Saccharomyces cerevisiae S288C: one gene and its partners. Changing the gene in region 2 together with the main gene of any one other region gives a genetic interaction. Each region holds a gene or a part of one and is shown on either strand. Other genes may lie near its edges.

Region 1 (4,196 bases), on a different chromosome or scaffold from region 2:
AACTGCACAGAGAATTAGCATCCGGTCTATCTTTCCCTATTGGATTTAAGAACGGTACTGATGGTGGTTTGCAAGTCGCCATCGACGCTATGAGAGCCGCTGCACATGAACATTACTTCCTTTCTGTCACAAAGCCAGGTGTCACTGCTATCGTGGGCACTGAAGGTAACAAGGATACCTTCCTGATCTTGAGAGGTGGTAAGAACGGTACTAACTTTGACAAAGAAAGTGTTCAAAATACTAAGAAACAGTTAGAAAAGGCCGGTTTGACTGATGATTCCCAGAAAAGAATTATGATCGATTGTTCCCACGGCAACAGTAATAAAGATTTCAAGAACCAACCAAAGGTTGCCAAATGTATTTATGACCAGCTGACGGAGGGTGAGAATAGTCTCTGTGGTGTTATGATTGAGTCCAACATAAATGAAGGTAGACAAGATATTCCCAAAGAAGGTGGCAGAGAGGGATTGAAGTATGGTTGTTCTGTTACGGATGCTTGTATTGGCTGGGAGTCCACCGAACAGGTATTGGAGCTATTGGCAGAAGGTGTTAGAAACAGAAGAAAGGCCTTGAAAAAATAGCCTGTAAATGAGGGAAAAATGCAAATAATCTTGAATGATACTCAAAACTTTTGATTTATTGTAATTTCTTTCTGAACCATATTTATTACATTCAAACTTTTTTTTTTTTGCCTTTTATAAAAAAAAATACTTATAAGAAAAGAGAAAGAAAATGACAGTTTTCTATGTATCATTAAATAAACATCCATATACAAATATAGCGTTATGTTTTACTTTTATTATTTACATGCATAGAAGTGTTGGCAAAATTCTTTACGAGCCACGGGGCTGCTATTTCAGGTTTTATTTCCATCTTAAGCCATCGTTAACTTCTTCACATTTTCTTTCACAAACAATTTTACATAGCGATTGGATACCCAGTTTCCCTCTTCTAGAAGGAATCACATTGGCAAAGTGATTTAGTACTTCTCTTTCGGTAACTTTGGCGCCAGTGTCATCATTCGTTCTCTTTTCAATATACGCAGCGATTTCCTGTTCTGTAGGCAATTGGTATTTAGAATGGTAGGGATATTGAGTCCAAGTAACATTCGAGGTATTTCTTAGTAATGACATTGGTAGCGATGGTTTAGGAGATGTGATAGATGTCAACTGAGATACAAATAACTGTTCCTTCTTTGTCCATGGATACGGGACCCTTTGTTTATCAATAAGTTTATGCTTTGTGGCTTCAGAGAATTCCACCAAAGAGTCCTGGTTCATGCACATGTTAGCTGCTGTGTATAAGTCTCTTTTGATAGCAGATTCTATGTGATCTCTGGAATTCTCTTGCACCAATCTCAAGGCGATTTGAAGAGAGGATGGTGACTTGGTTAACAATTTCGTTTTGATTTCTTGTGCGAAAGCCTTACCTTCCGCAGAACCTTCATATTGACGTAAGTTATTCATTATGTCTTCAATAGTACCATTTTTAGACAAGTTAAAACAGGCTTCAATAACGTTTAATTTCTCGTTAGAATACTTGAAAACATAATCTTTTGGTAATGGTGATACGAATTCGTCGATGGATTCGTTAACCATCCCGAAGAAGTATGCAGATTGTGGATCGTTATTAAAAGGGGGGCTAATTTCACCTAATCTTTTCTGCAAAGCATCTAAATTTTCACTACTGACGTAATGAGACGCTAAGCCGAGCATATAAGCGTCTGCTCCTGTGACTACTTCTCCTGTAAGACATAGATACAGGGCCATTTGTGAGTTTGAGTTAGCCAATGTCACGATTCTAGGGAGAGCAAAAGTTGAGCCTACATCTGGAAAAAAACCAATGTCCATCTCGGGCATGGCCCATTTGGTGTTTTCTGTAGCAATTCTAAAGGGCGTGTGAATGGATAGACCAACGCCGCCACCCATGGTGATACCGTCCATGAAGGTAACAATTGGTTTCAAGTAAGTTGCTATTTGAAAATTCAAAGAATATTCATCAGTAAAAAATTTGATGGACTTGGCAAATTCTTTGTTAAAATTGAATATTGCCACAGTAGCTACATCACCACCAGCACAGAACGAACGTGGTCGGTTGGATGACTTTAAAATGACTAAGTTTGTAGTATCGCTCTTTGCATACTCGTTCAAAGTCTTGAACATGGATTCTGACATTTCGGCGTTCAAAGCATTGAGCTTTTTGGGCCTATTTAGCGTGATAACTCTAGCTGTATCTTGAACGGTAAATAGCACAGGTGGTGCGTCGGTGACATTTAGCTGGGGTTGAGTAGTCATGAATGTACGTGTGGTAGTTTTAAATCCGTATTTAGACGACAATTGGGCACATTTTAGCGTATTTCTGAGCATTATTTGTGGTGGCTAAACAGAACCAAGTATTATATAAATGAGGATTCCCGTACACAGGCGCAGGAAACAAGCTGCTCTTATCTTCTCGGCTACCTCATCAATCATTTGGCTCCGAGGTTTAACACTTTTCTTTGCACTTGCCTCTCCAATTCCGAAGTTCCGAAGGGTGACCCGGATTGTGTTACTAAACAAGAGAAGATTGGTAGAAAACGCAATGGGTCAGTTTGGCTGGCTGAATCCTTGGAATCCTGTAAGGCTGCTTACTACAAATGGGTTAGGGACTGTTCTCTTCGGCATAATGTTTAAGTGTTAGTTTTGAGATATTACATGTTTAAGAATTCAAAAAACCTTTCTATTAACCCAGGAAACGATGCGGATAAGGCGAGCTTCTCCGACCCATGAGCACAATAGATCAAGTTCTGTTCTAGTTGTTGGTTAGTAGTTTATGGAATGCTAATGGCATTAGTGATGTAGGAATATTTTTGGTGTAGTGTATGGGTGTTGTGAAAATATTTGCCATTTGAATTTTTTTCGGCGCTTTTCTTTTTTTTTTTCTTTTTTTTTTAGCTTGAATTATCGATGAATGATGAAATGACTCTTAATGAACTTCGAAGTTATATATACAGCCACTTTTTTGTTTAGAAAGAAAAGTATAATTATCTTACATACATTGATTTATTGCTCTGTCCTTCCTCCGAGAAATCCGTAATAAACTTCAATAGCATAATGTCTCAACAAGATAATGTCAAAGCCGCCGCTGAAGGTGTTGCTAACCTACATCTCGACGAAGCTACCGGGGAAATGGTCTCCAAGTCTGAATTGAAGAAGCGTATCAAGCAAAGACAAGTCGAAGCTAAAAAGGCCGCCAAAAAGGCTGCCGCTCAACCAAAACCGGCTTCCAAAAAAAAAACAGATTTGTTCGCTGACCTGGATCCATCGCAATATTTCGAAACAAGATCTCGCCAAATTCAAGAATTGAGAAAGACTCACGAACCAAATCCATACCCACACAAGTTTCACGTTTCTATATCCAATCCTGAGTTCTTGGCCAAATATGCGCATTTGAAAAAAGGTGAAACCTTACCTGAAGAGAAGGTTTCAATTGCTGGTAGAATTCATGCCAAAAGAGAATCTGGCTCCAAATTGAAATTCTATGTTCTTCACGGTGATGGTGTTGAAGTTCAATTGATGTCCCAATTGCAGGACTACTGCGACCCAGACTCTTACGAAAAGGATCACGACCTTTTGAAAAGGGGTGATATCGTTGGTGTCGAGGGTTACGTCGGAAGAACTCAACCAAAGAAAGGTGGTGAAGGTGAAGTTTCCGTCTTCGTTAGCAGAGTGCAATTATTGACACCATGTTTGCACATGTTACCTGCCGACCACTTTGGTTTCAAAGACCAGGAAACCAGATACAGAAAGCGTTATTTGGATTTGATCATGAACAAAGACGCCAGAAACCGTTTTATTACCCGTTCTGAAATTATCCGTTACATCAGAAGATTTTTGGACCAAAGAAAGTTTATTGAAGTAGAAACTCCAATGATGAACGTTATTGCTGGTGGTGCTACCGCTAAGCCATTTATTACCCACCATAATGACCTTGATATGGACATGTACATGAGAATTGCTCCAGAATTGTTCTTGAAACAATTGGTTGTCGGTGGTTTGGATCGTGTTTACGAAATTGGTAGACAATTCAGAAATGAAGGTATCGATATGACACATAATCCAGAATTCACCACTTGTGAGTTTTATCAAGCCTACGCTGATGTTTATGATTTGATGGATATGACTGAATTGATGTTTTCAGAAATGGTCAAGGAGATC
Region 2 (3,622 bases):
ATCAAACTGCCAAAGCTGTTATCAGAAACCCATCAAGAATGATTGAATACTTGGAGGAATACCAAGCCTGGTGAACAATTTTTCATATTTAAGTAAACACTCAATGTATAATATCCTCTAACTGTTGTAATTTCATTAACGTAGATGGTTTGCGCCTTTTTTAGGGGACTCTTGTTGATTGATTCTAACTACTGAGGCTTAAGTTGTTTCAAATAACACTTTTTCAGAAAAATAATCGTATTAAAAAGCAGAAAAATCATACGTAAGATGACAGAAGCTTCATATTTAGTAACTCTGAATTGTATAACACACCAATTGCCGATAGAATATGAACCAATCGATCTTCAGCGTTCATGTACTTAATTTAACTACCTGTATTTTCTTATAAAGATAAAATTGGTGTATAATGTAAGGACCAAGAGAAAAAGGAATCCCGCATCCCAAGCAATTTCTAGTGGACTATTTCTTCAAAAAATAACTCAATAAACACCTATATAATGTTCGGAGGTTATACTTTAGTGTTTTAGAATGCAGTACCAAAAGTAATATATTGAATTAATAACTATATGATGTGTAGCTAAGAATTAAATAGTAAACGTCTTCTGAAACCTTTTAAGAGGTAATTATTGGTATTCCAAATTCATATGTGGAGGTAAGGGAGACACAAAATTATCTGGAATGACAGCGTGCTGACACCTATAAGGTTCCGTAACTTCAAATGCCTTCATTACTCAACATAGGAAAAGTGAAAGTGTGTGCCTCTAAAATATACGGAACATCGTCGAACTAAAAAAATCCATTAAGCAAAGTCAGAAACAGCATGCACTACAAGACATTTGGTTCATCATGAAGAATGCTCAATTGAACCATCAATCACTTTCTCTTGTTCGATGTTAGCATTATCCTCACTATCAGTTGAATCCTCAATGCTTTCGGTTTCAGTCCTCGCATCTTCCTGAACTTCAAGATCTAAAAGAGGCTCACTCTCTTCCAGACTGGTCTCCAAGCGGTCCACGGTATCACGTAATGCCTTCACACAAGCCTTCAAAACAGATCTTGTGCTTGACCCATTTTCCTTAGCTTGAGATAGGACTGTGATATAAGAAGCATATGTGGTAGCGAGAAATAGTATGAATAAAACGGCTTCTGGTAAAATATCTATTTTAGCAATCTTACAAGAACCTGAATAATCAAAGTTTATACCCCGTGGCATACTTGAGCAGGACATAGAACCAAATTTTGAAGCTAGAGTTACGAAAGCGGTAAACCACAGGACGGTCTGAACAATTTCCATCACGAATATTAACAGAACAGGCAAAAATCTCACAATCCCAAAATAAACTGAAGATATGATTGAAACAGCTAAGCTCAATCTAAGGATTCGATCCACTTTATAGTTTGTGATTATGGCAAAACTAGCTAACAACAAGTTAGTTACAGATAAGCCAAGTTGGAAATATCTTAGTACGTGGAAAGTAACGGATGTTGTTGTTAACTTTAACATATATGTATTGAGTTATTATTATAGATCTTGACTTGGTAACAAAATATCAAGCTGTAAGCACCGCCTGTATTCTCCTATTTATGGTTGATTATATTTTACTTCTGTTGAACCAAGAAAAAAATAGCAACTCGAAAAGTCGCTTATTCATTCACTTTTTTAATTTTTTTACATATCGCATACGTAATTGGAAACACGCAATTTTAACTTTGGGCAAATACATAAATCATTTTGAGAAGTTGGTTTTTAGTCTCCGAGAGATTATAAACCAACATCCTTAAAAGATAGTATTCATTTCTCACCTGCCAATGCAAGAGCAGATATTATTCAGCAAGCAGTACAGCAAATCGGAAGCGAATTCCAATGACAATTTGCAGAATAAGATTAGAATAATATATTGAGATTAAAGAAAAGGTTATGCGAATTGCCTAACGTCTTTAACTTTGAAGCGGCCAAACTCTAAAAAACCTTGGTTAAAATACAAGCTTTGGCGTCCATGCAAACTGATTACATCATTCAGTATAAAGTGCCATATAAAAGAGGCACACACTTTTCCACAACTGGTTTGAATATAATAGAAGAATAAATCAGAAGGAAACTTTAAATATTAGTAATATTTATTTATGGCCGCTAAAAGATTAGTCCGGATATATCACTATAGAAATGGTAAAGATAATACACTATCATTTCCAAATGTAAAATTTGTTGATAGAACGCCATAAAAAAGAGGCTGACTTTTTGTCGTCCAAGTTCTTCGAAAAAATATACGTCAATGGCACCCGATATATAGCTGGATTTGGACCAGTATATGTCTAAGGAAATCTAACACCTTTTTTTCCTGAGCCAAATAAGCGGTGGAATTGAAACAGCTACCAAAATCATACCAAATCCAACCGCAATTGAAAGCCCCAATCTTGTGCCATAAAGAGCTGCTAATACAATCGGTGCCACCAGTTTACCAATCCCAGAGATTGCTCCAATTGAAGGCATCAACTGGACCTTGAGTTTGGGGTCGATGTACATGGAAAAAAGGGCTGGAATGCTCGAAGCCAAAAAGTTGTACCCTAACAATGTAATCGACATCCCAGCTGAAAAAAATATACCAGAATTTGTGGGTGGCATTGATTTATGCTTCAAGGCTTCGGATGCTCCAATCATAAAAGCTTGTCCCAGCAATGAAACAAACAATGCAAAGATGGACAGAAAAACTTGACCGCTGTACAGCGAATCTTTTTTCTTTACCTCAACGGTCTCACTTCCAGTTGTATCTGACTCTTCTAATCCGCCATCTTTGGCTCTGCCGCAGGAGCACCCGACGTTTATTAACTTTGGAGCGAAATAGCTTCCAGTCACACCAAGTATAGATGCGACCATAAACGCTATGCCTTGAAACTTGGTGTCCCAGTTAACGTGGAGCGTCAGGAATAGTGGCATAAAATAAACTACTTCGCTCATAATAAATGACGATAGGAACATGCTCCATAGTAAAATCAAGCAGGAGATGAGTTTTTTTCTTTCGACTCTAAAAAATTGTTTCAGAGCACTGAAAAGGCTATTTTCCGAATTTGTAACTTTAACCTCAGGATTTTCCAGAACGACAACTAATAAAAGGCATACTGCAAGAATTATGAAACTGGAGGCAAATGTCGGTGCATTGTAAGAGGCAATGCGATACCCTTTAATTTTAAAATCGCAATATCCAAAAAATATGACAATTAATTGTGCCAACGCCATGAAGATACCAGCCGCTGCTCGATAAATTGATAGAAGCTTGAAAACGATACCCCTATCTTGTGCAATTGACATGATGTAACTGAACACTATAGCACCAGAAGCAGATGCTGCACCACATATAATACGCCCACCGAGAAGGGTGTTTAGCGACACTGCACCGCCGCATGAATACAAAAAATTACCCACAAAGGATAAAAAGTAAAGCCCCACTATTACCCATTTAATGGACCCAAGAAAAGCAGCAATATCCCCAATAATGAATGAAACAAAAACTTGAACTGCTGCAGAAATGGCTTGAATTCTGAACAAGAATTTGTCCGGATTGGTTTCTCCGTTCTCTAAATTGTTAGCATACTAGTTCATTGAAATTATCTTAGATTTACATTA
Region 3 (3,054 bases), on a different chromosome or scaffold from region 2:
GATTTCATGTTCTAAGTGCTTACATTAAGCGAAAACAAGATTTGGGCCTTTTACCTGCATACATACCAAAAACGTATCAGCACAAACTCCTATTACCATTAGCATTGAACGAACATGCGTGCCTGAAACTATTTCATATTCAGCAAAAATTGAAAAATGGCCCACCTTCTGCTGGGCTGTCATATACAAAAGAAGGAAGGAATCAAATATGGTTTGTTCGGTCACCAATTAACAAGGGCAGACAACAATCGAAAAAGCTGGGAATATTGATACGAAAAGAAAGGAAGGATTCTCAGAAAAATATCGATAATCTCAATTTTTGCGAAATTAATGCTGCTTGGGCATTACATGAGGCCATTTGGGAGGAATATCTAGAGTCGAAAAAGATTATTAAAGTAAACTTACCGAAATACTTGGAATACGCTGCAAATATCCCAAAGTCTACTAAATGTAATCCTTCGAGTCAATATCAGAAAGTTAAAGAATGGGTAGATCCCGTGAGAGAAATAATGTTCGAATTACATTCCAAAAGTTTTCAAAGAGTGGAGTACTTTAACAAATATAAGGAAAAGCTTTTAAAGAACGGTGGCCAACTAGCATATTTTGATAAAAAGTCAAAAGAAATGTACGCCAAACGGTTGACACTATTCAGAAAAATGAGCAAAGAAACATTACCATATGTGACACTCTTTATAGAAGGGAGGGACTTGCCAAGTGTTTTGGCGAAATACGGTTTTTAAGTGCAAAAGTTGCGTGAATCAGAAAGTTTAATAGAAAATTTACTGGTTACTTCCATTTCTATGTAAATAGTCACTCGTATGACCGCGATAAGGATCCTGATGAAGACGATTTAATTATACTTCCTATTCTATACAGGTTTCCTCATCAGTAGTCAACTGTCCAAAGTACACATCCAATGGTAAAGGCTCATTCTTGTAGGTATCATCAAACTCAAGATCCTTGAAACTCGTTATCAGCGATTTGACGGTATCTATAGGTACCTCACTTCCAACTAATTCTTCTAAAAGGCTTACCGAGTACATATCATCAAACTCTAGATTAATGTAACTAGTTAAATGCACGCCTCGCCTTTCATGCAGAGGCGTTTGTGATAACTGTCTCATTAAATACAACGAACATTTACTGTGATAATTATTACAATACATTGAGTGGATAAAGAAGCCATCAGATGAATTTTCTGCCGCACTCTTATAGCATAGCGGGTACCCACATATTTTCTTTCCCCTTCTTGCATTAATAACATCCATATAAGACATCGGTGAAAGTAGCCGTGCTAAGTATTTTAATGTCTGCTCATTTTCGCAAAATGATTCTGTGAGCATTGAAACTATGGCAGATTCAATCATTCGGGCTTCCACTATAGATAATTGCTCATGTAATTGGTGTGATCCTAAAATTACTTTTTGAATGAACGTAGTGGTTATTATCTGCATTATGGCTTGCGTTGCTCCTGTCCTTCTAGTATAAAAATAAACCTATCACTTTTCTTAAATATGCTGCAATTTTTCCAGAATGCCTCCTTGCTGTTGATAAATGGCTTCCAATCTTCGCCAATACTAGAATGTGACCGGCTCGTCTCTTTTGTAAAGTCGATGTAATTTTCGTTGGACTTTTCAATGGCATTTGATATTGAAAAAAATGATTATCAATGCTGGAGGGCCCGGCTAAGACTTAACCCTGAAGCTTCTGTCTTTACAAAATATTATATGAATTTATCCCTGAATTTTACATACTATGAAATTTTAGTTTTGGCAAAGAATTTGACACGCTACTTACTCTTGCAACTTTTTCAGACGCATTAGCATCATCAACACGCAACTCATCTTTTGATTCTGTGGCTGTCCTTGCAATATATCGCACGGTAATCCAGGGAACTTTATCCTTTATATCCAGATCGTCAACTTCGATTTCAGAGTTAAAGTTTTCAATGAAATTTCTTTCATGAATATTGATGCTGGAATTATACACCAAAAACTCATTTAGTATGGATACCGTACTCCAATATGAAAACTTTCTCATACATGCTACTACGAGAGATATTATCAATTCACCATTCGTACAGTGCATATAACAGGGGTAATGCCCTTTATCAATCAGAAATTTAACGCATCGTACTACAACATCGTATTCAATAGGAACTGTTTTCTTTTTCCTTTTAATCTTGGGTTTGGTCTTGTCTGCCTTTCTTTCACTTTGACATTTTATATGAATTGTCTTAATGTTATTTTCTTCACAAAACTTTACCATTAGAGGATCAGTGCTCAAAGGTTCTGGTGTCAAAGATAATATGTATTTCAATCTAAGGGTTCTCAGGAATGGGAGATTGATTTCTCGTGGGTAAGATCCTCTATATAAATTTGGCTGTACAGTCGAAAATTGTAACGGAGTCACTAGTGTCATTTTGATACATATAGCTTATTCTAGATGTGTGAACTGGGTATTCATAGCAATTGTGAACCCATAGTTTATATTGGTACTCCTTTCCTTCTTAACAGAGTCTCTTTTTTTCTTTCGCATTTTTTTTGGCCTTACATCAAATAGCGGTGATTAATGATAAAAAGCACTTAGCAGAAGTCATGCAACAAAAAAAGAACACAACATAAGGGTACAGCTAGTGAGCTCCATTGCTTCGACGTTTTAGGATAAAATGGAATTCTTTTATGAAGAACAAGTAGCTTGTATCGAAGATGATAAAATAAGCAACTCTCATACCAAGGAAACTGGATCAACAGAAAACACTGAAAATAACGAACTTCAGAGCCGAGATGACAAAACAAATGAGGCCTTCCAAAAGTTAGAAGAGGAAGTCAATAAACGATATGAAAAGACTACAAGTGCATTCAAAAAGTTAGTAATCGAGAAAGATGACGGAATTGAAATTAACTTGCCAATTAGCAATGAAACTACAGAGACTGCACAAAAGTATTTGAAGAAACTAGACGAGAATATTCACAGCGTGGAAAGTCTAGCCCAGTCATATTGGAGCAAAATGAAAACTAAGAATTTTTGGTCTGGCTTCAGTAGCTTCGATAA

Evidence for each region. Genes that interact genetically often act in the same process or in processes that back each other up.
Region 1: mutations in YNR061C (region 2) and EHD3 together harm fitness more than expected from each alone (negative genetic interaction), as found in Saccharomyces cerevisiae (one large-scale study listed by BioGRID).
Region 3: mutations in YNR061C (region 2) and RTR2 together harm fitness more than expected from each alone (negative genetic interaction), as found in Saccharomyces cerevisiae (one large-scale study listed by BioGRID).

What each region holds. Positions count from the first base shown.
Region 1 is NC_001136.10:522,348-526,543, forward strand, and holds EHD3 (mitochondrial 37S ribosomal protein mS47 EHD3), read right to left. Parts: upstream 2,367-4,196; coding exon 864-2,366; downstream 1-863. Other genes in the region: 3-deoxy-7-phosphoheptulonate synthase ARO3, read left to right, coding at 1-581; lysine--tRNA ligase KRS1, read left to right, coding at 3,093-4,196.
Region 2 is NC_001146.8:742,037-745,658, forward strand, and holds YNR061C (uncharacterized protein), read right to left. Parts: upstream 1,505-3,622; coding exon 845-1,504; downstream 1-844. Other genes in the region: FRE4 (ferric-chelate reductase), read left to right, coding at 1-74; PUL3 (Pul3p), read right to left, coding at 2,324-3,307.
Region 3 is NC_001136.10:581,045-584,098, forward strand, and holds RTR2 (putative protein-serine/threonine phosphatase), read right to left. Parts: upstream 1,455-3,054; coding exon 864-1,454; downstream 1-863. Other genes in the region: RRG1 (Rrg1p), read left to right, coding at 1-740; OCA6 (protein-tyrosine-phosphatase), read right to left, coding at 1,747-2,421; DOS2 (Dos2p), read left to right, coding at 2,669-3,054. UniProt on the Saccharomyces cerevisiae protein: Probable RNA polymerase II subunit B1 C-terminal domain (CTD) phosphatase that regulates RNA polymerase II transcription. May have functional redundancy with RTR1.